5 linked regions of the Callithrix jacchus genome follow. The main gene of each other region encodes a partner of the protein of the gene in region 4 in a complex. Links are inferred from orthologs where the notes say so. Each region holds a gene or a part of one and is shown on either strand. Other genes may lie near its edges.

Region 1 (5,673 bases), on a different chromosome or scaffold from region 4:
AATTTAATCACTCCTCCCCGCCCTGGCCCTGCCAGCTTCAGCTCCACCTCCTTGGAGGAAGCCGGCGCTTTTACCGAGCGCCGCGCGGCAGGTCACCTTTCAGCCAATCACATCTGCGGAACCGCGTTCCGAGCAGCTTGCGGGAGTCTAGTAAAGTAAGCTCGGGCGGTGTTGGAAATCTGAATGTCACCCGCGGTCCGGGGCAGATAGGACGGGCTGGGAAGGTACCTGAGAACTCCCGGAGTAATTCGCTGGCAGCTGCGCGAGGCTCAGGTGTTCTAGTTTTTTTTATATTTCCCTTCCTGAAAGCCGCAAAAGAGAGGTCTAAGAGTGGGCAGACTTCAACGTTCTGTTACAGTGTAATTAATGAGAGTGGTGCGTTTTTATGCAGTGTAACTATGCCATGATTTGTTGTTGCTCAGTGGCTTTTCCACAAATTTCTACAGATTTATTCAGTTTTCCATAAATTTCTACAGATTAATTCAATGTCAGGTCACTTTCTCCTTTTATGATCGGATGGGTCCAAAAGTGAAGAAAAAGACAATTGTCTGCACAGAAAGAGGCTGCCAAGTGGAGACAAAAGCAGTTGTGAGATTGATGAGAGTCCAATTTGTTATCAGTAGGTGTGAAGTGATATCTAATCTCAAGAATGACCTCAAGGCTGAGAGACACTTGATACTGCCCTAGGCCTTAGCTGTTCCCCAAACAGCACGGCTGCCATTTAAAATCCACTAACACCCAAATCGTTGCTGGCAACTCTACCCGCTACATTACTCAGAATCTCTAATTTAATTAGGAATTTCATATCAACCACGGACATGTTGATATTCCATACATGTTTAAATGTACTAATCAATGGACTAGGATAATTGAGGGGCAAACCTCCTGTCTCACCAGCTCACTCAGACACACTGTGAATTGCTCAAACCACTAGATCCCTAATCAAGGATGCCTATCTGTTTTTACTGTAACTTTTCATTACTTACTTATTACATACTATGATGACTCAAGGGGTAAACACACCTTTCACTATCCACGATATAATCCAAGCCTTGTGTGTATCCATAATATGCTTAATAATAGCTTCACAGTTGCCTGGAGAAATGACTTTTGGGGAGGAAGATACATGACATTTTCAGATAATGCCGTGGACTAAATATTATTAGAGCAAAAATTTACCATCTTGCAATTGCTTCATATAATTAATGAGATATAATTCATGATATACTAAGAAGTATCTTTAAAAAGTAATGAAATATAATACTGATTTTCAAAGTATTTGGCTAACAAAGACTAAAATGTTTTTTTCCTCTTAACCCAAGGCCCTATAAAAGAAGCATCTCACCGTATTGACCGTATTACAAAACATACAACCAATAGTTAAGGATCAAAAATTTCAGTTTGGTTTGGGTCTTTCCGATTGTGACTTTATATGATTTTTTTTTCACTCCCCTCCCCCCATATCCTGTTCTGTAAGTACACGAGTGCTCTAGATTTCCTTATCAATAGAGGGCGTCCTCGAGTCATTGCAAATACTGGTGGTGTGAAACAACTGTTCTGAGGAAAAACTTCATTGTCTCTAAGGTGCTTTATTGCTCCTCTATTGTAAAATTTGACAAGCTCGAGATTTATAAGCCTAACAATTCACTTTTTATTGCTGCATAAGTGTTCAGACGCTAGAGGAAAATGCTAATTTTCACAATTAAACCACATGGTGATTCCTATTTTCAAGACATAAGTCAGTTGACAACTCGCGGGTAAATTGGTACTGTTAGAAAGATCAGAAATCGGCTTGGAAAGCAAGAGCATAGTGCATGGTCGCTTATAGCACTGCCATTCAAGCCGGTGAGCTGCAAGTTACAAAGGATTTTAGATTCTACAAAGAAAAATCGGAGAGGGTGCTAAAACACAAACATAAAATCAATGACTTATAAAAGTTTTATGTTTTAATCAGATAAAAAGAATGAAGTGACTGATGACTTGTGTAACTCACACATCCACCATGTTTCTTGCCACTGGTGCACTTTCTCCCTTCCTCTTTGTTTTCAGGAAGGAAAGAGAAAGAGGAGACCTGAACAGTACATTCAGGGGAGTGGACAGAATTAAAACACATGCCAGAAACACTAATGGATTCTAAACAATATGCGGTTTCATTTCCTGAACCTATACGTGATGTTTTAACTGTTTTCTAGTTAATATGTCTCCATTTCCAGAAATCTAACAGGAGGATCTCTGCCTGCTTAGCAGATCACCTAGGTTTCCATATGTGCAATCCATTCTAGAGTAAGGGCTCCCTGGCTGCTCCTCCGTCTACTATGTATACAAAGCAGCGGCTGAAATAGCTTGGAGTCCGACAGCGCAGCGTCAAGCAGCTCGTGGTTTGTACTTACATCATTTTTTTTTTTTAAAAAGCAGGAGTGAAAGTTTATTAAAAAGCTTTAGAATAGTAAGGAAAGAAAGGAAGGAAAGGAAAGGAGAGAAAAGAAGGAAAGTACAACTTGGAAGAGGGCCAAGCGGGCGACTTGAGAAACCAAGTGCCTGTACTTACATCATTCTTAACCCTTCCGCTCCTGGAGAGGGATCAGGGAGCCCCCGGACTTCGGAACACGCAGGACCTGGGCGTGAGAGAAGAATCCCAGAGCTTGGTGTGAGCAATGCACCCCCGGAGGGAGCGAGCCTGGGGCCTGTGAGGGGCTCATCACCCACTCGTACGCAACGGGCCCCCGCAATCCCTGCGGGCTCGGCTCCTGCTCTCACCGCTCAAAACGGCAGGTGCAAAAAGCATTTGGGAGCCTCTTGCCAGCGCGCGGAGGTAATGCGCTTCCTGTCCATTTATCTCAGGAAACCAGTGCAGCCTTCCCTTCGAAACAAAATTAACCTCTCATTAGCCAGCCACTCGCTCCTAAGAAGGCCTTAAAAGCTTTACCAGCTCGCTAATGTATTTAGGCTTTTCTTGCAGGCAAACGCAGCCGCCGGTCTTGACTGCCATCAGCTCAAGGGGTTCCTCTGGGCTCTCCTGCGAGCCAACAGCCGACCTCTCTGCAGCCTAGTCTGGGCAACTTCAGCCAACTCAGGATCCTATTTTGTAGTCCGGGGCAGACCCGACACCCCTGAAAGAACTCCACGCCAGAAGAAGCCAGAACAAGTTCCCACGAATTTCATGAGCGCCCTTCACATTAAACCCTCAGCTTCCCTGTCCTCAAGAGAACAGGAAAGGGCGCTGGGGAGGGACTTCGGCGGCCAGCTGTCCCTGGGTCGTGGGCGCTGATTGCTCTGCGGAGCACCAGCCCTGCACACAGCGGGTGCGGGAAGCGTTGATGGGGGGCTGGAGGGTGGGGGAGCGAAACTAGGATCTAGCTGGTTCCAGGCGTGGAGAATCAAATGTGGTCTTAGATCTGTAAGTGGCGAAAAGGGGCTTTTGGGAACGTCAGGGCTTTCTCACCCCGGCCCCCCGCCGCCCGGAGGCTGGCAGATTTATACCACACAGGTGGATGGAGACCTAAACAAAACAGTCCCGGCTGCTGCCTGCCGCTCGCCCCCCACGTCCCCCGGGCCCACCGCAAACTTCAGCAAAATAAACAACTCACCACAGGCATTCCCTTGTCTGCAGCACGGCGCTTGCCAGCTGGGAAAATAAGCCGCAAGCCACGCGGCCGAGGCGCGGAGGGAAGGCAGCGCGGCGCCCGCCCCTCTCCCCCAGGTGGGGGCAGCGGGACTCGGGGCTGGAGGGAGGCTCCGCCTCGGGGGCCGCACTCCCAGCTCTCCGACTCCGGAATGAGCTCTCGGAGAGGAGCTGCGCCCTTCCAGCTAGCGCGATTTCTCCGCCACCTAGGCGAGAGGGCGGGGAGCCCAATCCCCACCAGCTTCCTCCAGGCTGCTTTCTCCCTACTTTAGCCTCAAATAGAGGCTAAAGGAGACCCCCACCCCCGAGCAACTCCTCTATCGCCACACTGCCCCCTGCCGGCGTTACCCGGCTCCTTCCTGCACAGCCTACAGCTGGGGGCGTAGGGGCGCCCCAGACCTCCGCGTCCAGTTCCCGGCCCAGTTCTCTCTTTGCCTTCCCCCCACCACACTCAGTCTTGCACAAAGACGCCTTTCACGCAGCCAGCGCCACCCTCCGCGCCGTCCTCCGGGCCAGCGGCGCTGCGTTCGCCCACCCGCGGCACCGACCGATTCCTGGTGGGCGACTGTGCGCGTCGTCGCGGGGCAGGCGGCAGCGGACGCTTGCGGGCTGTTCCCAGTCCGCACCTCTGCCAAGGCGCCAGATGCGCTGCCCCCGCCCGCCACATTCTCTAGCTTCCCGCCAGCAGCCGCAGAATGCACCCCGTTCTCTCCGTAAATGATCCTTGAGGGTCTTCCTAGTGTGTCTAAATATGGGGACAGTGGCAGGAACGATCCTCCGGACTTTCACCGAAAGAAGAAATCCAGCGACCTTCCCTGACCACCTAAGGTGCCAGTGTGTCTTTACAGCTTAAGAGAGCCAAAGATAAAAGATTTGGGAATAAAGAGGGAAGAGAGGGTTTAAAGGGACACCTAAGACCTAGAGCAAGTGTGTTGCAAAGAACGAGCCCATGAAATGTTAGAGGGAGGACGGTCGCTTCGATCAGTGTAGAAGTCGTGGAGGGCAAGAAAGCGATTAACTTTCTACCTTAGATTAATCTTCCAAAGTAGAGGGGGAAAAAAGCATCCTAGATACTCAGCGGCAGCTAATAGGCGCGTTCAACCCTTGGAACGAGCGGGCTGCTTCTCTTAGTCAAGTCAAATGCTTAAACATCTTCACTCAGGGAGGTCGTTTCTTGCCTCCTTAGGCAGGAATCTATGACCCTCTCCAGTTTTTGCCTTCTCCTCCCACAGCCCCTCCTTATAGTTTCTTGGGCTAACGCTAGAGGCAGCATAGGGCAGTGTAAAGAGGGCGAATGGGAATCCACAGAAACACAGAAGAGGGTCTAGGCCTGAGTTTCTGGGTCTGGGTCTTAGGCAACTGATTTAACGTCTTTGGACCCTCGTGTCACTATCAAGAAAGGATGTGTAAAGGGCAATAATTAGTAAAATTTACATATTCTTCTGTTTCTTAAATTCAGTGATAATGACTGCCCTTCCTCCAACCCGCTGCAGGTTCCTCCTTAGTGTTTTTTCACTTTGCTTTATCTTCTCCAAGTGCCAAACTGAAAAAAAAAAAAAATACTGAGATTGTTTCAAGGTAAATGTAAGATATATTGAAACATACTCTTCTGCATCTGAGAATTAAGAAGAAGAAGAAAAAACCCAACTCAGCTTCTGTTTCACAGAGCAAGGAATTTTAATGTCCCCACACCCTTTGCTTTTGAAAAGCCACTCCAGCAGTCAGCAAAGCACAGCTTTGATTTAGAAACTAAAGGCTAGTCTCTTGTGTTTTTCTTTTCCCTTCCACCAACACAAAGACAAGCTGCAGCATAAAATAATGATGAACAAGAGTTCAAAGCAAGCCCAGTGGGCCAGCCCACAGGATGTTTTTTAATGCCACCAGTCCTTCCTCTCTCTCCTGCTAAGCTGGACAGTACATAAATAGCAGGCACAAGCTGCCCGAATTCCCTGCCTCCTCCACTCTTTTCCCATAAATATTGGTCAGTGGAGCCTGGATGCTAACTTGTCAATCATCACAGAAAAGCATTCATCAAGTAATACATTTAATTT
Region 2 (5,853 bases), on a different chromosome or scaffold from region 4:
GATTGGAGGATACACAGTATTGATTCTGAGTGTGTCCATGAGGGCGTTGCCAAGAGATTAACATTTGAGTCAGTGGGTAGGAAAGGCAGATACACCCTTAATCTGGGTGAGCACAATATAAGATGCTGCCAGCGCAGCTAGAATAAAAAGCAGGCAGAAAAATGAAAGGAGAGACTGGCCTGGCCTCCCAGCCTACATCTTGCTCCCGTGCTGTCCACTTCTTGCCCTCTAACATCAGACTCCATGTCTTTCTGTTTTGAGACTGAGACTGGCTCTCCTTGCTCCTCAAGCTTGCAGACAGCCTACTGGGGACCTCGAGATCATGTAAATTAATACTTAATAAACTCCCCTTTATATATGTCTATATCTATCTAGATATAGATAGATATAGACATCTATAGCAAACTATCTAGATAGATAGATGATTGATTGATTGATAGATAGATAGATAGATAGATAGATTAGATAGATGATAGAGATACAGAGATGGAGATAGAGATAGAGAGAGATCCTATTAGTTCTGTCCCTCGACTGAACCCTAATACAGTGACACTATTTGGAATTGGTCCTTTTTACATTCCATTTGGCAAGTACTAAAAGATTGATGATCTCAGATATGCCTATGGCTGCAAAAACATGACATGGCCAAATCCCTTGGTTGCAATATCTTTTTTTTTTTTTTTTGCTTATTTTTTTTTTAAGGCAGGAGGCCTCACTCTGTTGCCCAGGCTGGAATGCAGTGGTGCTACCATAGCTCACTGCAGCCTCAAACTCTTGGGCTCAAGCGACTCTCCTGCCTCAGCCTCCCAAAGTGTTGGGATTTTGCAGTATTTTAAAGTCACAAGATTATGTTATTCCACAAAAGTATGTTTCAGAGACTAGGCATGGTGGTTTACACGTGTAATCCCATCACTCTGGGAGGCCAAGACGGAAGGATTGATTGAGGCCAGGAGTTCAAGACCAGGCTGGTCAACATAGTGAGACAGACAGACACCATAGAAAGAGAGGAAGGAAGGAAAGAAGGAAGGGAGGAAGGGAGGGATAGAAGGAGGGAGGGAGGGAAACAGAAAGAAAATCTTTTTGAATCTTTTTCTGTTTCTCCAACTCTTTCTCCCCTTCTAAAAATTCTCTTTCCATTTTTTCTTCACCTCTTTGCCTTTGTTAGCCTTCTCTCCTAGCAACTCAGGAGCTTTTATTTCTGTGTGTATTGATGAGGGAGAGGGAAGAGGAATTGCTGTACAAACGGAAGTAATGAAAATGGAGTAGGTAGGAGGATAGACAGCTGCAACGATCTGAGCTAGATAGACTGAACAAGCCCTCATCCTAAGCAACTCACAGCTCCGATTTCTTCTCTGGACAGCTGGTTCTTTTTGTCCTCCTGAAATACTCTGCAAAGAAAGGGGAGAGGCTGTGAACTACCTCTGCTATGGATCTTATTTAAAGTCAGCTACCTCCTAGATACTATCTGTAGAAACTAAATGTAATATTCATCATATCAGGGATGAAGATGGTAAATGAAAGGTATCCATTTGCCCACTGTAATTTTTAAAGGCCAGGAGCTCATCATTATTGAGAATGCTGGAGGGCGGCCTGGAGTAGGCAGTGACTAGAGTCACACAAGCTGGAACCAGATATCCAACTTGTCTGTCATATTTTTCTCTTCCCTCCCCAGCTTGGCACCCAATACTCCATATTCCTTCTAATTCTCCTACCCTCCCCGCTCCCACACCCTACCCCCACCGACGTTCCTGGAATTTTGGACTTAGCTATTTTTAAAACCGGCAACTCAGTAGCCACCTCCCACCCTGCTCAGCTGTCCAGCACTCTGGCCAGCCATATAGTCCCCCTTCCCCCAACACCAAACCTTCTCTGGCTCCCTGACCTCAGTGAGACAGCAGCCGGCCTGGGGGACCTGGGGGAGACATGGAGAAAGAGACAGAGGATCCCCTGGCTGGAGCTGACCCACAGAGTAGGCAATCACGGCTGGAGAACTGGATAGCAGAGTAATGTTTGACCTCTAGAAACAGTAAGTCAAAATGAAATTGCAATTCCTTTAATAAGCTTTTATAGTGAAGTTAGACTGTTATAAAATTACAAACACCTACTCGGATGTCTCCTGTCCAAATGCTGGGATCTCTTCCTACCAAGGTGCCCAATCACCATTTCTCCTTCTGTCTCATTTCTTTCTGGCCTCTGGCCTCTAGCCATTTGAAGTGTAATTCTCTGTCTCTCCTCCGGCAGTCTTAGCCCTCTCTTTTGCTTATTACCTGAAGACTTCTGATGAAGTTTTAGGAGTTCCCCACACCCTCGATCCTGTAGTTTTCTTACCAGGGCCAAGAATGACCTCGGATGATGAGTCACTGACACACTTCTATCCTGTCCCCACTTAGCAATGCCCTTTGCATTGAGATTCCAAGGGTGGGGGCTGCTCCTTGTAAATGATTTCTCCCCACACTCTAGTCCCTCCATTCTATTCTCCCTCTTGCAGGACTCTCCCCTGAATCATATCCTAATGCACAGGACGGGGGAGTTAGGCAGGAGGGATTTAGCTCCTCCCTAACCCCTGTTCTCATGAAAAGACCCAGAACTTCAGAAGTTGAAAAGGAGAGATTAATAGAGAGGTTCTTCAGTGAAATTTGGGAAAATACAAGAACGGTTGACTTAGAAAAAACAAATATTAATTTGCATGTTTGCTTTGCATCCCATTATTCCATGAGGGGGGGATTAAAATTCCTGTGCTCTAGAGCTGATGAAAGAGATTGGTTCCTTTTCATTTGAATATTGACATTCTGGAGGGAATGGGTATGCCACCCTCACTCCTTCTTGTGTCCTTCTGACACAAAGAAGAAAAAGAAATGTATGGCTCCTGGAAGGCATCTCCTCCTAACGGAGAAGGACAAATAAGAAGTATATTTCTGAAGTATTTTCAGGTCCTGATTCGATTAGCGTACCCACTGGGATTACTGGCGTCCTATCTATCCCCATGATTCCTCCGTCTTTGACATAGCTGCTGTTTGGTATCTCAGGATGGAGCAACACAGTGGACTCTGCCCCCCTGAGTTCACCCAACCTTCCCTCCACCCCCGCCTGAGGCTGTTGCACAAGGGCCCTAAAAGTGGCCACAGGAACAGGGCAAAGAGGCTTAGCTGCCACACTTACAGTGTGAGGAGCCCCAATCTCCCAAATTCCAGTCTGCTCATCCTTTCTTTATCTCCCCAGATTCACCTCACATTGTCCTGACCAATCTTCAACTCTTCTCTCTCTCCATGTCCAGCCAAATTTCTTTTTTCAGTCACTTACAGGACTTCCGGTCAAAATTCACTAGGTAGGAGGGTCATCAGCTGGGAAGAACCGGGCGCCCGGGGAACCTGGCTGGATAGTTATGGGGGAGCCAGGCCAGTCCCCTAGTGCCGGGTCCCCACATGGCAGTCCCCCAGCTCTAAGCACTCTCACTCTCCTGCTGCTCCTCTGTGGACACGGTAAGGAAGGGCCAGGGAAGGGTTTGGGGAAATCTAGAGGGTAGGCTGCTATGTAGGGGTGGGCATGTGAGCATGAGTGAGTGAGGAGACGCGGGCGCTGAGAGTCCGATCACTCACCCTGCTCTCAAATAGGTATATTTTATGTCCCATTCAGTTTGGGGAAGGGCACTGGGGAAGCCCTTGGTCGACAGGCAGAAGAGATTCCCTTTTATTCCTACACATTTTTAGTAAGACAGCCGAGAGAACTAGGGATTTGGGGTTTGGGGGCTGGGGAAGGCCCTTAGTTGGGTTTTAGGAAGGCTGGAATTCCCTGATGAGATTTGGAAGAGTTATGATAGAGCAGAGGTCTGAGGACGGTCTCACAATCCTCTCCCTTCTGTCTTTAGCTCACTCTCAATGCAAGATCCTCCGCTGCAATGCTGAGTATGTATCGTCCACTCTGAGCCTTAGAGGTGGGGGTGCATCAGGAGGAGGAGGAGGAGGCCGGGGTGGAGGGGCGGCCTCTGGCGGCCTCTGTCGAGCCCTCCGCTCCTACGCGCTCTGCACGCGGCGCACCGCCCGCACCTGCCGCGGGGACCTCGCCTTCCACTCGGCGGTCCACGGCATCGAAGACCTGATGATCCAGCACAACTGCTCGCGCCAGGGCCCTACAGCCCCTCCCCCGCCCCGGGGCCCCGCCCTTCCAGGCGCCGGCTCCGGCCTCCCTGCCCCGGACCCCTGTGACTACGAAGGCCGGTTTTCCCGGCTGCATGGCCGTCCCCCGGGGTTCCTGCATTGTGCTTCCTTCGGGGACCCCCATGTGCGCAGCTTCCACCACCACTTTCACACATGCCGTGTCCAAGGAGCTTGGCCTCTACTGGATAACGACTTCCTCTTTGTCCAAGCCACCAGCTCCCCCGTGGCGCTGGGGGCCAACGCCACCGCCATCCGGAAGGTCAGGCACTCAATCTCCCTTCTGATCCACCTCCTGAGATTCTTCGAGGGGCACCACTTCCTCCCCATCCCCACTATTCCACAGCAGTGCTCCCTAGTTCCCTTTTCTTCCTCAACCACTCCCCCATCTTGAATCATTCCCTTCTACCAAATACTTGGAGCTGTAAATCATTTCCCCTTGATGGGAATTTCACTCAAATGCAGAAAACAGCTGGAGAGCGCATCGGAAGGGAAACTTTACCCTCTCCTAGGAAGTTGCCCAGATTAAGTAGAGAGAGAAGTTAAGTCGGGATGAGGCAATACTGGAACGTAAATAGGAGAAGGGATCAAGGACTGGGCCACAGTAGTCCTCACCTCTACCTGGATCAGACCCCTTACTGTGTGAGGTCTGACTGGGGGAGGATGCACTGAACCAAGTGAACCGTTTTCCCTCTTGCCCTCAGCTCACCATCATATTCAAGAACATGCAGGAATGCATTGATCAGAAGGTCTACCAGGCAGAGGTGGATAATCTTCCTGCAGCCTTTGAAGACGGTTCTGTCAATGGAGGTGACCGACCTGGGGGATCCAGTTTGTCGATTCAAACTGCTAACCCTGGGAACCACGTGGAGATCCAAGCTGCCTATATCGGCACAACTATAATCATTCGGCAGACAGCTGGGCAGCTCTCCTTCTCCATCAAGGTAGCAGAGGATGTGGCCAGGGCCTTCTCAGCTGAGCAGGACCTGCAGCTCTGTGTTGACGGGTGCCCTCCAAGTCAGCGACTCTCTCGATCAGAGCGCAATCGTCGGGGAGCTCTAACCATTGACACTGCCAGACGGCTGTGCAAGGAAGGGCTTCCAGTGGAAGACGCGTACTTCCATTCCTGTGTCTTTGATGTTTTAGTTTCTGGGGATCCCAGCTTTACCGTGGCAGCTCAGGCAGCGCTGGAGGACGCCCGAGCCTTCCTGCCAGACTTAGAGAAGCTGCATCTCTTCCCCTCAGATGCTGGGGTTCCGCTTTCCTCAGCCACCCTCCTACCCCCGCTCCTTTCCGGGCTCCTTGTTCTGTGGCTTTGCATTCAATAAAGAGGCCATCAGTCCTATTACTGGTTTGGAAATGATTTGGGGATAGAGACTGGCAGAGAAGACTGTAAAGCATCATTAAAGGAAGCAGGGTGCAGGAGACCCATGAAACAATGGTATCATACACTCAGATCAGGCTGCAGCCCAGGGTTGAAGTGATCACAGAGTAAGGATTCTGGGCAAGGTTTCTGCATTCCAGACCTCTGTGGGGCTCTTCACTAATTTTTTCAGCCCCATTTATAGTAAATAAATTGTTGTAAGCCATTTACTGCAGGTATCATCCTTATAAGCTTAGAGGTCAGGAAAGTTTTGATTCTCAGTAAAGATTTAAGGGCTGAGAGATTTCAGAGATAAGAGCTGAAAGCAGAGGACATGAT
Region 3 (4,860 bases), on a different chromosome or scaffold from region 4:
AAATCTAGACTCAATAACCCTGATCCTGTCATATCTAGAGGCACATCTCAGAAGGATAAGGGAAAAAAATATATCTCTGATCCCTGAGTAGATAAAGAGGCATGTTGGCTGGGCGTGGTGGCTCACATCTGTAATCCTAGCACTTTAGGAGACTGAGGCGGGTGGATTCACGAGGTCAAGAGTTCGAGATCAGCCTGACCAACATGGAGAAATCCCATCTCTACTAAAAATACAAAAATTAGCCAGGCATGGTGGCGCATGCTTGTAATCCCAGCTACTTGGGAGGCTGAGGCAGGAAAATTGCTTGAACCCAAGAAGCAGAGGTTGCAGTGAGTTGAGATTACACCACTGCACTCCAGCCTGGGTGACAGAGCAAGATTCCATCTCAGAGAGAAAAAAAAGATAAAGAGGCATGTCAGCATATTGTCAAAATTCCTCTATACTCCTGGCAACAGAGGCTGGAAAATAGATCATTGTTCCTAATTCTGGTATTTATTTGTGTTAGGCTTTATTCCCTTCATAAGATAGCAACAGTGCTGCTTCTCTAATAGGGTATTGCTTGTCATCAGGTAACATTCAGAGTATCCCATGAGATCAGATTTTTATAATAGCACCAGCACCAAAATAATGCCAAAGTCATTAGCTAAATTTCTTTATAAGCAAGTTGGTATTCCAGACATCTTATTTGCAGGCATAAACTAACCCCAGCCAGTTCTCTGCAAATGGGTACTGTTGATCAGAAGAGGAATTAAATGAGAAAATAACATACAAATTACAGAAGCATATTTAAGAGCATTTATTAGTGAGGATAGGGCATATAATAATTTTAGAATGTAAAGAGCATGTGACTTTTATAAAGTCTGATATTTTTTGACAAAAGGCACCAAATAATTTTGTGACTTTTATAAAGTCTGATATTTTTTGACAAAAGGCATCATGGAAGCATAAAGCACTTATAAACGTTGCAATTATTTCTTAAACTATGAGGTGAATTATATATAAATAGTATAATTTGTACTCTTACTTGACTATTAGTTGTGCCTTCCATTATATTCCTACCTTTATAAAACAGTGTGAACTTAGGACATTAATAATAAAAGCAGAATAGCTTCTGTTAAATTGCAGTGTAAGAATTCTTACTTCCTTTTAGGTTAAAGTATTTTAAAACAAATGCTAGATTTTGGAAAACATTAGAAGCATATGGAATGCAATAATAATATGTTTTGCTATCATTATCTCCATTATTAAAATATAAATAACATAATCGATATTAAATAAAAATTCATAAATTTTTCTTAAAGATTGTTTAACTTTATGAAACAATTAGCAAGAAGCTAATTCCTGGAAACTCCAGCTGTCTTTAAGACACAACTACAGTTTTTTTTCTGTGACATCTTTCCTGGGCACCTCTTCCCTCAGATATAGTTAACCTCTTCATATTGCTGCTCCTGCATTTGCAGGTTTTTTTTTTTGACATAGAGTTCACTCTTATTGCCCAGGCTGGAGGACAGTGGCGTGATATCGGCTCACTGCACCCTCCACCTCCCTGCCTCAGCCTTCCTAGTAGCTGGGGTAATGGGCGCCCACCACCATGCCCAGCTAATTTTCTGTATTTTTAGTAGAGACAGGGTTTCGCCATGTTGGCCAGGCTGGTTGCGAACTGCTGGCTTCAGGTGATCCACCTGCCTCGGCCTCCCAAAGTGTTGGAATTACACAGGCTTGAGCCACCACGCCCAGCCTGCATTTGCAGTTCTATTTATTGTCTGTTTTTAACTTACAGATCTATCATTTTCTACTTAGTTCTGCGTATTCTCTGATTACTCTTTGAGTTCATAATGGATATCCCATAGTAGATATCAAGTAGTTGTTGAATAAATAAATGAATTGAATTTCTTATGTACTGATCACTTGGAGATACTCATGCTTCCACCTCCCACTTACTGCCAGCCCTCTAGTCTGCGTGACATGGTGCTGCGATGCCCCTGCTCCAGTTTCCTCTTCAATCAGGTCCCATCCAATGGTGGTTCCATCATCTCTTGATATCAACCACCCATTATAGTTGGGCTGCCTCCACTCTGTGGGTATAGTATGCATACTATACCCATCTCCATATGACTTTTATTTTGTTACTTAGTAGCTCTGTTTTTCATTCTTTCTAATGCAAATCCAGTTTATTCCATTAAGCCTTCCTTTACTATTCAGACTCCTGGTGCTTTATTAGTTCCATAATAGCTTTGAAAAAATAATTTAGCCTTTGATCATATACGCTCTGTTAATGGTATTTATTATCCTTTATTTATTTCATGTACCCTGTCCTCCTAACTAGTCATACAGAGTTAACCACCAGGAGAACTAAAAATTGAAGTAATCAAAAGTGGTTGTCTTACTGGAAAGCAGACTAGGAATTGCTATTAAGAAGAAGTTTTCTTTGAGACAGTCTCACTCTGTTGCCCAGGCTAGAGTGCAGTGGCACGATCTTGGCTCACTGTAGCCTCTGTCTCCAGGTTCCAGTGATTCTCCTGCCTCAGCCTCCTGAGTAGCTGGAATTACAGGTGTGCACTGCCATGCCTGGCTAATTTTTATGTTTTTAGTAGAGATGGGGTTTCTCCTTGTTGGCCAGGTTGGTCTCAAACTCCTGACCTCAAGTGATCCACCCATCTCAGCCTCCCAAAGTACGGGGATTACAGTTGTGAGCCACCGAGCCCAGCCTAAGAAGAAGATTTTTAAATAGCTGGTACTTATTTGTGCCAAGGATTGCTAATCACTTTGCATCATTTGAATTGTTTAAGTTTATTTTATGTTATTGTAAATTCTCAGTATAACTTTAGAACAGCATTTTTCACATTTCTTTTGGCTTGCAAATTCTCTTTTTATAGAAAATCTTATCAGAAATGTCCAGTTTAGGGCAGACGTGGTGGCCCATGCCTGTAATCCCAACACTTCGGGAGACGAAGGCAGGTGGATCACAGAGGCAGGCTGGAGTTCGAGACCAGCCTGGCCAACATGGCAAAACCCCATCTCTACTAAAAATACAAAAATTGTCTGGGTGTGGTGGCACACATCTGTAGTCCCAGCTACTCAGGAGGCTGAGGCAGAGAATTGCTTGAACTTGGGAGGCAGAGGCTGCAGAGAACCAAGATCATACCACTGCACTCCAGGCTGGGCGACAGAGCAAGACTCCATCTTAAATAAATAAATAAAGCTCAATTTAAAAACACAACTGTATAACGTAGCGCATATTTTTTAAGCCCAGTAATCTAACCTTTAGATCAAAGCCTGAAATCTAATAAAAGAAGCTAAGGAAGCCCTTTGCCTTCTTCAGATGGAGTAGGAGAATATGACTTCCTTCTCAACATAATTAATAAATGAAGATCTTTTTTCCTGTATCTCACCTTTGTCATGTGCAGACCAACAATAACTAAGATAAATAACTGTTAATATTCAGCAAGGTATTAAAGCATTTTTTTTTCTTCTTTCTTGCCCTGAAATCTTAAATTTTTGTTTTTCAGAACACATGTGTACTGTGGTTTATTTTGATGACTGCATGTCCATACATCAGTGTAAAATATCCTGCGAGTCCATGGGAGCATCCAAATATCGCTGGTTTCATAATGCCTGCTGTGAGTGCATTGGTCCAGAATGTATTGACTATGGTAGTAAAACTGTCAAATGTATGAACTGCATGTTTTAAAGAACAAAGAGAAATGCAAACCAAAGCAACTTAGTAAAATAAAAGGTATAAAGTTATTCAGTAAGTCTGTTGTTTGCATTAGAATACCAGTAAGTTAAGATATAAAAACTTTGAAATAAGTTTATTTTGAAATATGACATAGCCAGTGATGTGTTTAATTATATTACTGTTCTTACTGATTTTATTGCCCCTAGCAAGAAGCCCTTTCCTTTGAATACATGTACAACTTTGGTCACATGAGAAGCAGGTGCACAGAGAATTCCTTGAAAGATCTAGGGTTCTTAACATGAAGCCTGATGTGGTTTTCTTGTAGCATTCCAAAGGTTTTTGCTTTGAAAGTGTTCGCAGAAGTATGTTGATGTGAGTTATGATTTCTTCATGTGCTACTCTTAGGATACTGAATTTTTATAGTTGCACTTCATTCCTCACTGTTCCTTGTATTATCGGTTTTTATATAAATAGAGTAGATATTCGATATACCACTCTGATAACTCACATAAAAAACTCAATTTCAGCCCTTTTATGTTGATTTTAAAAGGTAAATGCTTGCCATATTTTATAATTACAAACTCTTACATAGTAGAATCCTTTCGATAATAGATGCAATGACAAAGCTTTAAGGAAAGTTTCCCATTCTCTTCCATTTCCCCTGCCCAAAGTGCTAACATAGGCAGTGATGAAGAATTTTTACCAAGATTTTTAGGGTACACCTATGAAATTGCATTAAATGCACTACTAAGGTAAATAATTAGCAAGCAAAAGCATTTCTGTGACTTAAGGTACCAGCTTAAAGAGCACTAGGTTAGGGAACAAATGCCAAATCAGACTCCACTTAGAGCACCGGGAAATAGCTTGTATCCTGGTAGGGAAATGGTATAGCTGAATCGGGAGGCTGAGCCGGAAGCAAGATTAAGCTTGTGCAGCCTTAGCCAAGACAGAGCAGGGTTTTCCAGCAGATGAGTGGTGGGACAGGAACTGAAGAGAATTTAGTGGTATGAACAGGACAGGTTGAAAATGCTGGGAATTATAATAGGAAACAAACTTAAAACTATCTACATTCATATTTTGTAATCTTTCATTTGTTTAGTTTATATCTGGATGTAATGTTCTCTTTAAACAAGTATAATCACATTGTGGGAGGTAAGATTATGAAATTTTGAAATCTCTGT
Region 4 (5,973 bases):
TGATCTATGTGTATCAGAGATTTATCATGATCTATATGTATCACAGAGTTATCAGCCTTGTAACTGCCTTCTACCTCTCTCTCTCTCCCACCCACAAGCTAATGTGATATCTCATTTCTGAGACTGGTGGAGTGGGCATTAAAATTACTCCCGTTGACTGGGCACAGTGGCTCACATCTGTAATCCCAGCACTTTGGGAGACTGAGGTGGGTGGACTGCTTGAGCTCAGGAGTTGAAACCAACCTGCAAAACATGGTGATGCCATGTCTCTACAAAAAAATACAAAACTTAGCTGGGCATGGTGGCAAGCACATGTAGTCCCAGCTACTCAGGAGGCTGAGGTGGGAGGATTGCCTGAGCCCAGGGAGGTTGAGGCTACAGTGAGCTGTGAACATGCTACTGCACTCCGGCCTGGGCAACACAGTGAGACCCTAGCTCAAAAAAAATTAAGCATTTTTCCAAAGGAGAATCCCAAGGTTCAGAAAAGTTAGATGACTTGCTCAAGGTCACCCAGCTAGGAAAAATCAGACTTGGAACTCTAGCCTAGGGCTTTTTTTTTTTTTTTTTTTTGACACGGATTCTTGCTCTGTCGCTCAGGCTAAAGTGCAGTGGCACAATCTCAGCTCACTGCAACCTCTGGTTCAAGTGAGTCTCCTGTTTCAGCCTCCCAAGTAGCTGGGATTACAGGCGCCTGCCATGATGATGGTCTATTTGTATTTTTAACAGAGGCAGCGTTTCACCATGTTGGCCAGGCTGGTCTTGAACCCCTGACCTCAGATGATCTGCCCGCCTCAGCCTTCCAAAGTGCTGGGATTACAGGCGTGAGCCACCACCTGGAGTTTTTTTATACCCAGTTCTCAGCTGTATCCACCTTCCCTTAAAGGAGACCTTAGTGTCATTTTACAGATGAGGCACAGAGATAGGGAGTGACTTATCTAAGGTCACAAAGCGAGTTAATGATAAAGCTGGCCCACACTGACATACACCCCAATTTTCCCGGCTTCCCAGTATAAGGATTTTGTTGCCTATGTGTCTTACCCTCCTGAGTGTGTGAGTGTGTGACAGTGGTGTGTGTGTGTGAGATTGAGTTCATGTATGAGTATGAAGAGTATATATGATTGGGCTTGTGTGACTATTTGAAGGGCACATAGATGTATAGTGTGTATGATCGATCTTGTGTGTGTATGTAAGAAGGTGTGTGTGCACATGCATACATGTGTGATTCAGTATGCGTGTACATGTGTGATTCAGCACAAGAGTATAAACATAAGACTGTGTGTGTGTGTGTGTGTGTGTGAGAAGCTCAGTAGTATCTCCGAATCAGCATGCTGTCCTTCCTAAATACCAATTTGGCATTGGGGAACTTTCATATAGTACTCTAGAAGGTGACTAATTAGGCCTTTAAACTCCCCATCTCCCCCTCTCCACGCTCCCTTAGTGCTAGGGGGCACAAGGACTTATTTTATGAGCCCCCAAGGGGTCACAGCTTTCCCTGGCTGGGCAGACAGCCAGGCCACCTCCCCCACCTCAGCCAGACCTGCTGCCTCTGTGCCTCCCCCGCCCCCTGGCAGCCCCCTCCAGGCCAGCTCTAATGAGGAGCCTCTCCCACCCTCTGACCCCTCCCCCACACTGCCAGCCTAGGACTTGGAACCAGAGCAAATGAGCTGCACGCATCTTAAGCGACCAACAGCCCACCTCCCTCTTCACACTAGAAAGAAACTGAGGCTCTAAGAGGGGGAGGGACTTGCTTAAATACCACAGCAAGTGGAGAGGAAAAGCTGGGACAGTAACACTAAATGGGTGGAGAGAGACAGGGGAGCAGGTATTCTCCCAGGTTAATGAGGAGAACGAGGCATGTTCAGGACAGGAACTAAAGTTTTTGTGTTGGAAGGGATCTCAGAAACCACCCTGTCCAACCCCCGTAGGTGTACAGATGGGAAAACAGAGACCCCAAGTGAGAAGGGGCTTTCCCAAGGTCACACTGTGAGGCAGACCCTAGGCTACTCCCTCCCCTTGTATGCAAACGTCATTCCATGACCACAAGATGCCCCGTTTTCTGCGTGCACCTATCTCGCCTCCGTGCACCTATCTCGCCTCCCTGCACCTATCTGGCCTCCGTGCACCTATCTCGCCTCCTTTATCCCCTTGCCTGAGGGCAAAGCTGCGGAACCATGGGGAGCTCAAGATTCATTTCTTTCTCTGCCATCTGAGACCACCTCCAAACCCCTGGAGCCTGGAAAGTTGGGCCAATCCAGCAGGTACAGATGCACAGCTGGGTAATCAAGTCTTGGGATCTGGTCTCCAACTCTGCCATCAACTGGCAGGTCTTGTCTCCTCTCTGGCTTTACTGCCCGCCCTGCACCTTGCAGGCATCGGACCTGGTGAGTCCTAGGTGACCTCCAGCGCTGATGTGCAGGCAGCCTGGGATCCGCTATGCGTCCGTGTCCCCAGACACCCACCCCAGGCCAGATGCACACAGCGTCTCCCACCAGGGCTGTGCCAGGGCTCTGAAAGCCCCTCCATTCATGCAGATGCCCCTCCCTCTGAGCCGTGCCCCTGCCACCCCGCCCCCTCACCTTGCCCTTTGTCAATAAAGCTGGTGATGGTGTTGGCCAGGCCAGCCTCCAACTTCACGCTGCTGTTGGCTCCCTTTCTGTCAGCATCGGACAGCGTCCTGTACAGCGAGAGCATGTACTCGTGGGGTGTGACGGGGGGCGGGCGGAATGGCTCCTTAGGCTCTCGAGGGGACCCCGGCTCCCTGGCCTTCTTCAGCAGGAAGGAGCTGGGGACAGATCCTGCCTTTGGGGGTGGCTTGCCCCCGGGAAGCTGTCCTTTTGGGGTCACAGTCCGTGCTGTAGCCTGCCTTGTTTGGGAAGGGTGGCCTGGCTTGGGTTCAGGGCCGCCCAGTTTGGGGGGCAGCTTTTTGGGTTCATCCTTCTTGGGCTGTGTCAGGCCTCCTGTCTGCCCGGTGCCTCCCTTTGCCCTGGCATTGGCGTTGGTGGACCCCCCACCATAGCCGTGACCCCCTGGCCTGAAGACGTTCCGGGCCAGAGGGGGCCTCTCCTTGGCCTCTGCTTTGGCCAATCCGGGCCTGGCCCCCTGGGGTCTCTGGCCCAAGTCAGGGGCACCCAACACAGTGCAGAGGAATTCCAGGTCCAGCCAAGCCAGGTACCAAAGCAAGAAAGTGAGGACTTTGGGGAGTCTCATCCTCTGGCCAGCCGCTGAATGACACCACAGAGAACAGCGGCAGCAGCGAAGGTGCCTCTGCTTTGGCAGGAGAAACCATGAAAGGAGTGGACTTCCACAAGCAGCGGCAGCAGCAGTAGCGGCAGAAGGAAAGGCTTTCTCCTGAGTCCGAGACTCCTGAAGTCTGCCGGGCGTGTGTCTGTATCCAGTCCCATAGTGGAAACGCTCTCTATCCAGACGTGCACCGTCTCCAGTCAGCAGCTGAAAATAACTCGTTCTTGAAAGGAGAAAGCCGACCGCCCCCTTTCTCCTGCACAACTGACTGAGGGCTTGAAGGAGGCTTGGATAAGGCTGAGGGATTTTTCCAAGAAGGAAGAATGGCGTAATACTGCCTGTGTGCTCCAGTTTTTTTCCCCTAGTTTTGAATCCTTTCCAGTGAAAATACTTCACACACACACATACACACACACACACACACACACACACGCCTGCAGGTGCTCAGAAAAATCTTTTACAAACCTGAGCTCAGGAATTGGAAACGGAATTCCAACCCAAACCAATTTAATTACTCTCTGATGTCATGCTGTCTAAACTCATTTGAGTGCGATATATTTATGTGAAAAAAATCACCGCTGCCCTTTCGAGGCTATGGCTCACGGGGGCTCTTGGCACAGAGCCCCGCAGTGGGACTCTAGGCTTAGGGGGCCTCCCCCTCCACGGAGCAGACTCAGGGGTCTTCACCTCCACCTCGTGGAGCAGCCCACCCCACCTTCCTGAGGAGAGATGCTGAAGAATGAGCTCAAAGATCTTAAGCCCCAGAAGCATGGGGAGTGTGGGTTTGTAGTTAAGTCCTTAGAGGGTTTTTAAAGCAGTTTCAACTCCTGCGTCTAGTCTGGGACTTGAGGTGTGTGTGTGTGTGTGTGTGTGTGTGTGTGTGTGTGTGTGTGTTATGTGTGTCTGTGGGTGTGTGTGCCTGTTTGTGTGTATTAGTAGTGGGGACAGCACAGATGGCAGCATTTACCCACAGTTTCTTTTATTTTAATAAACTTGTGGTGACCCAGAGACTGAAAAATATCAGTGCCAGCTATACCCGCTCCCTACTTCCAAATGCCATTGACTGAGTGCATATTCTTCAGGCTTGAGGGCACTGCCACCCTTGAGCCACTGCTTGGATGGTGGCAGGTCCAGGGTGCACCCCACCACCACCCCAGCAAAGACGTCCTCAATAGTTTTTAGAATAGACTGGCTGAGTCTGGGGCAGCAGCGGCCCCTACAGGAGGCTGGAAAAGCGATTTCCCACACAAGGCTTTTCTGGTAGCTGGGGAAGGTCTGAATTCCAGCTGAATTCCTGGGTTTCTTAAAGTGCCTCATGGAAGTATGGAAGCTCCCTTGCTCTTAGGAACCTGCGCCATAGAGCCCCTGAGCAACTTACCACAGTGGGGAAAGCTGTTCGCTTCACCTGAAATATCCTCCTCTCTCTCTCCCACAACTGGAGGAAGCACTCCACATCCTGAGAAGTTTAGCTGAAAATTCACCTCCTTTGGGAAACATTTCCTGATCCCCAGACAGAGCCAATTACTCCCTCTGCACATTTCATTACAATAACACTGGCCATGCTGTGAGAAGGATGACAGGGGAGAAGCAATAGTCAGGTAGGCTTCCTTCTTTTTTTTCTTTTTTTCTTTTTTTTTTTCCGAAATGGAATCTTGCTCTGTCTCCCAGCTGGAGTACAGTGGTGCGATCTTGTCTCACTGTAACCTCCGCCTCCTGGGTTCAAATGACTCTCCTGCCTCAGCCTCCAGAGCAGCTGGGCCTACAGGTGTGCACCACCATGCCCATCTAATTTTTGCATTTTTAGTAGAGACCGAGTTTCACCACATTAGCCAGCCTGGTCTCGAACTCCTGACCTCAAGTGGTCCACCCACTTTGGCCTCGCAAAGTGCTGGAATTACAGGTCTCTCTACTAAAAATACGAAAAGGTAGCCAGTCAGGGAGGCAAAGTTTGCAGTGAGCTGAGATCGCTCCACTGCACTCCAGCCTGGTCGACAGAGCTAGAGTCCATCACACACACAAAATAAATACTTTTTTTCTTGAGACAGAGTTTCACTCTTGTTGCCTAGGCTAGAGTGCAATGGCACGATCTTGGCTCACTGCAACCTCTGCCTCCCAGGTTCAAGGGATTCTCCTGCCTCAGCCTCCCCAGTAGCTGGGACTACAGGAGTGCCCTACCACGCCCAGCTAATTTTGTATTTTTAGTAGAGATGGGGTTTCACCATGTTGGTCAGGCTGGTCTCGAATCCCTGACCTCAGGTGATCCGCCTGCCTCGACCTCCCAAAGTGCTAGGATTACAGGTGTGCACCACTGTGCCCAGCCAATAAATAATATTGATAAAATAAAAAATTTAAAAACATAGACTTGTTCCCACTGCACCAGTCCTCTCTGGCATCCCTCCCACACCCGATCCTCATTGCCACCATCACTGCTCTGTCCTCCTCACTGCTTGTCCTGCTACACAATTCTCCCCTGTAACTGGCTTCTAGGCCTCCAGGCTCTCTCTGGTTCTACTCTCCCTCTACTAAAAGCTACCCATCAGACAAGTGCTAACCCACGTGCCACCTCCTCCATGAAGCCTTCTTGCATCCCCCAGAAAATGCATACCCCCCTGAGCTGCCATGACACATTTTCTGTGCTCCTTTTACATTTTTTGGCAGCTGAAAGTTTATTCAGTCTCTGCCTCTGCCCGTGACGCCAACACAGTTCATTTCTTCCACTCTGTATTTTTTCAT
Region 5 (5,212 bases), on a different chromosome or scaffold from region 4:
TTAAAATGTTCTGTATTTTATTTGTGGTGTTGGTGATTACATGATATAGATTTGTTGTACTAAGGCTTGTACTTTTCTCAAAAAGTGTACATTTTATATAAATTATACCTAATAATCTTGACTTAAAAAAAAAACTTACAGGCCGAGGCGGGTAGATCACTTGAGGTCAGGAGTGTGAGACCAGCCTGGTCATATGGTGAAACCCCATCTCTACTAAAAATACAAAAATAAGCCAGGCTTGGTGGCATATGCCTGTAATCCCAGCTGCTCGGGAGGCTGAGGCAGGAAATCACTTGAACCTGGGAGGCAGAGGTTACTGTGAGCTGAGATTGTGCCTCTGCACTTCAGCCTGGGCAGCAGAGCGAGACTCTTTCTCAAAAGGATTCTATAATAAATGATACATGAAGTCAGTTTAGGTTTGCACAAAATTTAGTTTATTTTAGAAGCATTTCCAACTTGGAATATAGCGTTCTTTTTAATTTAGAATGATCACTAATGCTTCCGAAAATGAAAGATAACAGTCCGTGTACATCTTGTAGTTAACAAATATTAAAGTACTTCTGATATTGTCCCAAATAAATACCTATATTCTGTGAGCAGGGGATGGAATTCAAGCAAATACATATGTAAATAAGAATAAAGTTATGATCGTGTTAAGTGGAGCAACTGAGAGGTTGTGTGTGCTTTGAAGGTATTTAAGTGAGAAAATAGCACTCTAAATAGGAACTGGACATTCAAAAAGACACGGAGACAGGAATAAGCTTGAGTGAATTCTGAAAGTTGAGATAAGTCAAACAAGAGGTTTACGGGTAGGTGGTCACAGGAAATAATAGGGACAGGCCAGATCATGTGGAGTCTTAGAAATGGAATTTTTAAGTTCTTTTTTTTAATTTTATTTTTATAAAGACAGGGTTTCACCATGTTGGTCAGGCTGGTCTTGAACTCCCGACCTCAGATGATCCGCCTGCCTTTGCCTCCAAAGTGCTTGGATTACAGGTGTGAGCCACTACGCCCGGCCGAATTTTTAAGATCTTTTAACCGTCATTTGGACTTGCTGCATAACAAACTACCCCAAACTTAGTGCCTTGAAGCAACAAAAATTATTTCTCATGAGTCTGTGAGTCTGCAGGGGAGTCCACTTGTTAGATTTGTTCAGCTAGAGCTAGGTGGTACAGTTTACATGCATGGCCAGCAGTTCATGCTGCCATTATTCATTGGTCACGGTTCCCAAAGCAGCAGGAAAGTGCAAGCTCCAGTGCACAAACATTTGTCAGGTCTTTTCTTGCATCACGTTTGCTATTCTATTATCCAAAGCAAGTTATGTGGCCTAAGCTCTGAGTCTGTGGGCCAAGACTACCCATGGCTGTATGCAGTGGGAGGGGAAGGGAATTATTATCACCATTTTTGCAGCCAGCCACATTGAATAACCTGTTTATAATATCACAGTACATTGTTTCATGCTTTAAAGTACATTATGGCCAGGCACAGTGGCTCATGCCTGTAATCCCAGCACTTTAGGAGGCCGAGGTGGGCAGATCACCTGAGGTCATGAGTTCAAGACCAGCCTGGCCAACATGGCAAAACCCCATCTCTACTAAAAATACAAAAAAAGTTAGCCACGCATGGTGGTGGGTTCCTGTAATCCCAGCTACTTGGGAGGCTGAGGCAGAAGAATCAATTGAACCCAGAAGGTGAAGGTTGCAGTGAGCCAAGATTGCGCCACTACACTCCAGACTGGGTGGTAGAGTAAGACTCCATGTAAAAAAAAAAAAAGTACCTTCTAAGTTTTTAATTGGAGTTGGTTGGGTACACCGTGCTTTTTGATGAGATGAACTACCCCATTGCCAGTCTTAAAGGGTTTCGTTCATCAAGAGCTCAAACATGTTACTTTTCTCTTTAAAGGTTCAGCGAACTATTGCCAAACAGATTCAGATGGTCCGGCAAGTTGGTAAAGGCCGATATGGAGAGGTATGGATGGGTAAATGGCGTGGCGAAAAAGTGGCTGTCAAAGTATTTTTTACCACTGAAGAAGCCAGCTGGTTTCGAGAAACAGAAATCTACCAAACTGTGCTAATGCGCCATGAAAACATACTTGGTAGGTACACACTGATTCAGTCAATTTCATGTTTGACAAGGCTAGTGGGATGCAGGTGGAAGCCTCCATATGTGCTTTGAAAACATGTGTGAGCTCAGCTATATACATTTGGCTAAAGGAAGCCCGACAGAATACACGATTTAAATACAACACAGTCCGGAATTCCAACCAAGCACTTTCTTTACTAACCAGCTGAAGAAAGAGCAGTGAGTTTCAAATGGAAAATAATACTAGTTTATTGGATTACTCCCATAGTAATGAAAACCCAGTCTTTTATAGATAATTTAAGCAGTGGTCTAGGGTAACATTAACATATATGCCTTTTGCCTTTCGTAACCTCAACAGCCCAACATGCTGCTTCGTTGTATGTTCTGTGTTTAATGTGTGTTCCCCCCACCAGCCTCCGTATTTACACAGTAGCAAAGTAATGTAGGTATGAGCTGATTGGTCAGATGCATAAACCGATCTGGCTATCCTGAGTTTTCTTTTCCCTTCGTCTCCTGTTTTCCTACCTTTAATTTGGAGAGTGCATAGCACATTGCCAAGCAGGCAACTGTATTAGTTTCCTAGAGCTGCTCTATCAATTAACCACACACTGGGTGGTTTCAGCAACCAAAACTCACAGTTTTCGAGGCTAGAAGTTTAAAACCAAGGTGTTGGCAGAGCCATTCTGTCTCTGAGGACTCTAGGGTGGAAACTTCCTTGCCTCTTCTGGCTACCAGTGGTTGCCAGGAATTTTTGGTGTTCCTTGGCTGATTATAGACAATACTCCAGTCTCCATTTCTGTCATCAGGTGGCCTTCCCTGGGTGCCTGGGTCCATATTTCCACCTTATAACATCACCAGCCACTGAATTCGGGCTCACCCTTATTCTGTATGGGTCATCTTAACTTGATTACATCTGCAAAGACCCTCTTTCCAAATAAGGTTATATTTATAGGTAACATGGATTTTAGACATGAATTTTGTTGGGGAGCACTATTCAGCTCAGCTCAGGGCATAGCACTAACTGACCTTTTTCTGGAGGGAAGAGGGTAGGAGAGAAAGGAAAAGAGAGCAGGACCGTGGACCTGGCAGTCAATGAGCCAGACTGAAAAGGCAGCTGCGATGAGTCACTGATGGGCAAATGGGAATTGGCTTAATTAGGAGCTAACTCTTGGTTGAACATTCTTAACTTTATTTAAGTGTCCACTTTTTGCTTTGAAATTGAGAGCCTTTTCCACTAGAGAATCATGTAGATTGATGATATTTTCCAGGTTATTTGTATATGTGATTTTTTTTTTTTTTTTTTTTTTGAGATCGAGTCTTGCGCTGTTGCCCAGGATGGAGTGCAATGGCTCTGTCTCAGCTCACTGTAACCTTCTCCTCCGGGGTTCAAGTGATTCTCCTGCCTCAGCCTCCTGAGTAGTTGGGACTTCAGGCACATGCCATCACACCCAGCTAATTTTTTTTTTTTTTTTTTTTTTTTTTTTGAGATGGAGTTTTGCTCTTGTTACCCAGGCTGGAGTGCAATGGTGCGATCTCTGCTCACTGCAGCCTCCGCCTCCTGGGTTCAGGCAATTCTCCTGCCTCAGCCTCCTGAGTAGCTGGGATTATAGGCATGCGCCACCATGCCCAGCTAATTTTTTGTATTTTTAGTAGAGACGGGGTTTCACCATGTTGGCCAGGCTGGTCTTGAACTCCTGACCTCAAGTGATCTCCCTGCCTCAGTCTCCCAAAGTGCTGCGATTACAGGCATGAACCACCATGCCCAGAATATGTGATCTTTTTCTAGTCATATTATCATTTTCATGATTATTAAGATTTATAAATTTATTATAGAAGTACAATTATATGTGTAAATTGTAGAAATAAAATTTTTTAGTGACATATTTATGACTTGATGTCAGGCAAATTAAAGTTTCATTATCTGCACATGATACCTAAGTAGTTCTCAGTATCCAGAATGAGCATTACTTTTCCCTGGCCATCTCTGATGTTAACTAACCTTTTAAACTCATCAACTGGACAGGTTTCATAGCAGCAGACATTAAAGGTACAGGTTCCTGGACTCAGCTCTATTTGATTACTGATTACCATGAAAATGGGTCTCTCTATGACTTCCTGAAATGTGCTACACTGGACACCAGAGCCCTGCTCAAATTGGCTTATTCAGCTGCTTGTGGTCTGTGCCACCTGCACACAGAAATTTATGGTACCCAAGGAAAGCCTGCAATTGCTCATCGAGACCTGAAGAGCAAAAACATCCTCATCAAGAAAAATGGGAGTTGCTGTATTGCTGACCTGGGCCTTGCTGTTAAATTCAACAGGTGAGTGGTTCTTTGCCCTACTGTTTCGAAAGTATTTTGATCTCCAAAAGACATTTCCCTATTTGTATTCAAGATAATGGAATTCTAAAAATGTACACATGCTCATTTTTAGTTACATAAATATATAGTTGGGGGTTTGTTCTTTCTACAAAAAATTGCATTCTCCTAATCCTATACATAATTCTTGATATCTTTTTGTTTGTTTGCTTTTTGAGACGGTGTCTCATGCAGTTGCCCAGGCTGGAATGCAGTATAGTGATCATAACTCATTGCAACCTCAATTGCAACCTCAACCTCATGGGTTTAAGGAATCCTCCCACCTCAGCTTCCCGAGTAGCTAGAACTACAGGCATGCGCTATCACACTCATCTAATGTTTTTATTTTTTGCAGAGATGGGGTCTCGCTGTGTTGCCCAGGTTGATCTCAAACTCCTAGGCTCACCAGTCCTCCGAGGGCTGGGATTACAGGTGTGAGCCACCACACCCATCCAGATTTCTTTTTTGTTGTTGTTGTTGGTTTTTTTTTTGTTTTTTGTTTTTTGGTTTTTTTGAGACGGAGTTTTGCTCTTCTTACCCAGGCTGGAGTTCAATGGTGTGATCTTGGCTCACCGCAACCTCCGCCTCCTGGGTTCAGGCAGTTCTCGGGAGTAGCTGGGATTACAGGCGTGTGCCACCATGCCTAGCTAATTTTTTGTATTTTTAGTAGAGACGGGGTTTCACCATGTTGACCAGGATGGGCTTGATCTCTTGACCTCGTGATCCACCCGCCTCGGCCTCCCAAAGTGCTGCGATTACAGGCTTGAGCCACC

Evidence for each region.
Region 1: the proteins of GDF5 (region 4) and RGMB are in contact, whole or in part, in a crystal structure (PDB 6Z3J), measured with the Homo sapiens proteins. The link is inferred for Callithrix jacchus from reciprocal best matches to the Homo sapiens genes GDF5 and RGMB. Residues at the interface, in NP_000548.2 of Homo sapiens: Leu396, Arg399, Phe435, Pro436, Leu437, Arg438, Ser439, Asn445, Val448, Ile449, Leu452, Ser455, Met456; in NP_001353437.1 of Homo sapiens: Gln57, Thr60, Phe63, Val64, Thr67, Ser68, Leu70, Asn71, Tyr88, Leu103, Val104, Ser107, Ala108, Leu110, Gly111, Ile112, Asp114, Leu115, Gln118.
Region 2: the proteins of GDF5 (region 4) and HJV are in contact, whole or in part, in a crystal structure (PDB 6Z3L), measured with the Homo sapiens proteins. The link is inferred for Callithrix jacchus from reciprocal best matches to the Homo sapiens genes GDF5 and HJV. Residues at the interface, in NP_000548.2 of Homo sapiens: Met412, Trp414, Trp417, Phe478, Asp480, Ser481, Lys488, Tyr490, Met493; in NP_001366281.1 of Homo sapiens: Arg95, Arg98, Gly99, Leu101, His104, Ser105, His108.
Region 3: the proteins of GDF5 (region 4) and TWSG1 are in contact, whole or in part, in a crystal structure (PDB 8BWL), measured with the Homo sapiens proteins. The link is inferred for Callithrix jacchus from reciprocal best matches to the Homo sapiens genes GDF5 and TWSG1. Residues at the interface, in NP_000548.2 of Homo sapiens: Glu434, Phe435, Pro436, Ser439, His440, Glu442, Asn445, Val448, Ile449, Leu452, Ser455; in NP_065699.1 of Homo sapiens: Cys26, Lys28, Cys31, Ala32, Ser33, Val35, Ser36, Leu39, Ile40, Cys44, Gln45, Cys46, Arg47, Cys73, Val74.
Region 5: the proteins of GDF5 (region 4) and BMPR1A are in contact, whole or in part, in a crystal structure (PDB 3QB4), measured with the Homo sapiens proteins. The link is inferred for Callithrix jacchus from reciprocal best matches to the Homo sapiens genes GDF5 and BMPR1A. Residues at the interface, in NP_000548.2 of Homo sapiens: Arg399, Phe435, Pro436, Leu437, Ser439, His440, Glu442, Pro443, Asn445, Val448, Ile449, Leu452, Ser455, Met456, Pro458; in NP_001393490.1 of Homo sapiens: Gly65, His66, Cys67, Pro68, Ile77, Thr78, Phe83, Ile85, Glu87, Cys100, Met101, Lys102, Glu104, Gly105, Phe108, Gln109, Asp112, Ser113, Lys115, Ala116, Gln117, Arg120, Ile122.

What each region holds. Positions count from the first base shown.
Region 1 is NC_133503.1:111,969,875-111,975,547, forward strand, and holds the start of RGMB (repulsive guidance molecule B), read right to left. Parts: upstream 3,777-5,673; 5' UTR 3,588-3,776; intron 2,616-3,587; 5' UTR 2,554-2,615; coding exon 2,549-2,553; intron 1-2,548. UniProt on the Homo sapiens protein: Member of the repulsive guidance molecule (RGM) family that contributes to the patterning of the developing nervous system. Acts as a bone morphogenetic protein (BMP) coreceptor that potentiates BMP signaling. Promotes neuronal adhesion.
Region 2 is NC_133519.1:8,456,779-8,462,631, reverse strand, and holds HJV (hemojuvelin), read left to right. Parts: upstream 1-1,864; 5' UTR 1,865-2,026; intron 2,027-2,267; exon of another isoform or gene 2,268-2,344; intron 2,345-3,274; 5' UTR 3,275-3,382; coding exon 3,383-3,479; intron 3,480-3,865; coding exon 3,866-4,413; intron 4,414-4,855; coding exon 4,856-5,479; 3' UTR 5,480-5,496; downstream 5,497-5,853. UniProt on the Homo sapiens protein: Acts as a bone morphogenetic protein (BMP) coreceptor. Through enhancement of BMP signaling regulates hepcidin (HAMP) expression and regulates iron homeostasis.
Region 3 is NC_133514.1:53,558,335-53,563,194, reverse strand, and holds part of TWSG1 (twisted gastrulation protein homolog 1), read left to right. Parts: intron 1-3,509; coding exon 3,510-3,691; 3' UTR 3,692-4,860. UniProt on the Homo sapiens protein: May be involved in dorsoventral axis formation. Seems to antagonize BMP signaling by forming ternary complexes with CHRD and BMPs, thereby preventing BMPs from binding to their receptors.
Region 4 is NC_133506.1:3,867,652-3,873,624, reverse strand, and holds the start of GDF5 (growth/differentiation factor 5), read right to left. Parts: upstream 3,511-5,973; 5' UTR 3,208-3,510; coding exon 2,577-3,207; intron 1-2,576. UniProt on the Homo sapiens protein: Growth factor involved in bone and cartilage formation. During cartilage development regulates differentiation of chondrogenic tissue through two pathways.
Region 5 is NC_133513.1:42,411,842-42,417,053, forward strand, and holds part of BMPR1A (bone morphogenetic protein receptor type-1A), read left to right. Parts: intron 1-1,902; coding exon 1,903-2,095; intron 2,096-4,105; coding exon 4,106-4,403; intron 4,404-5,212. UniProt on the Homo sapiens protein: On ligand binding, forms a receptor complex consisting of two type II and two type I transmembrane serine/threonine kinases.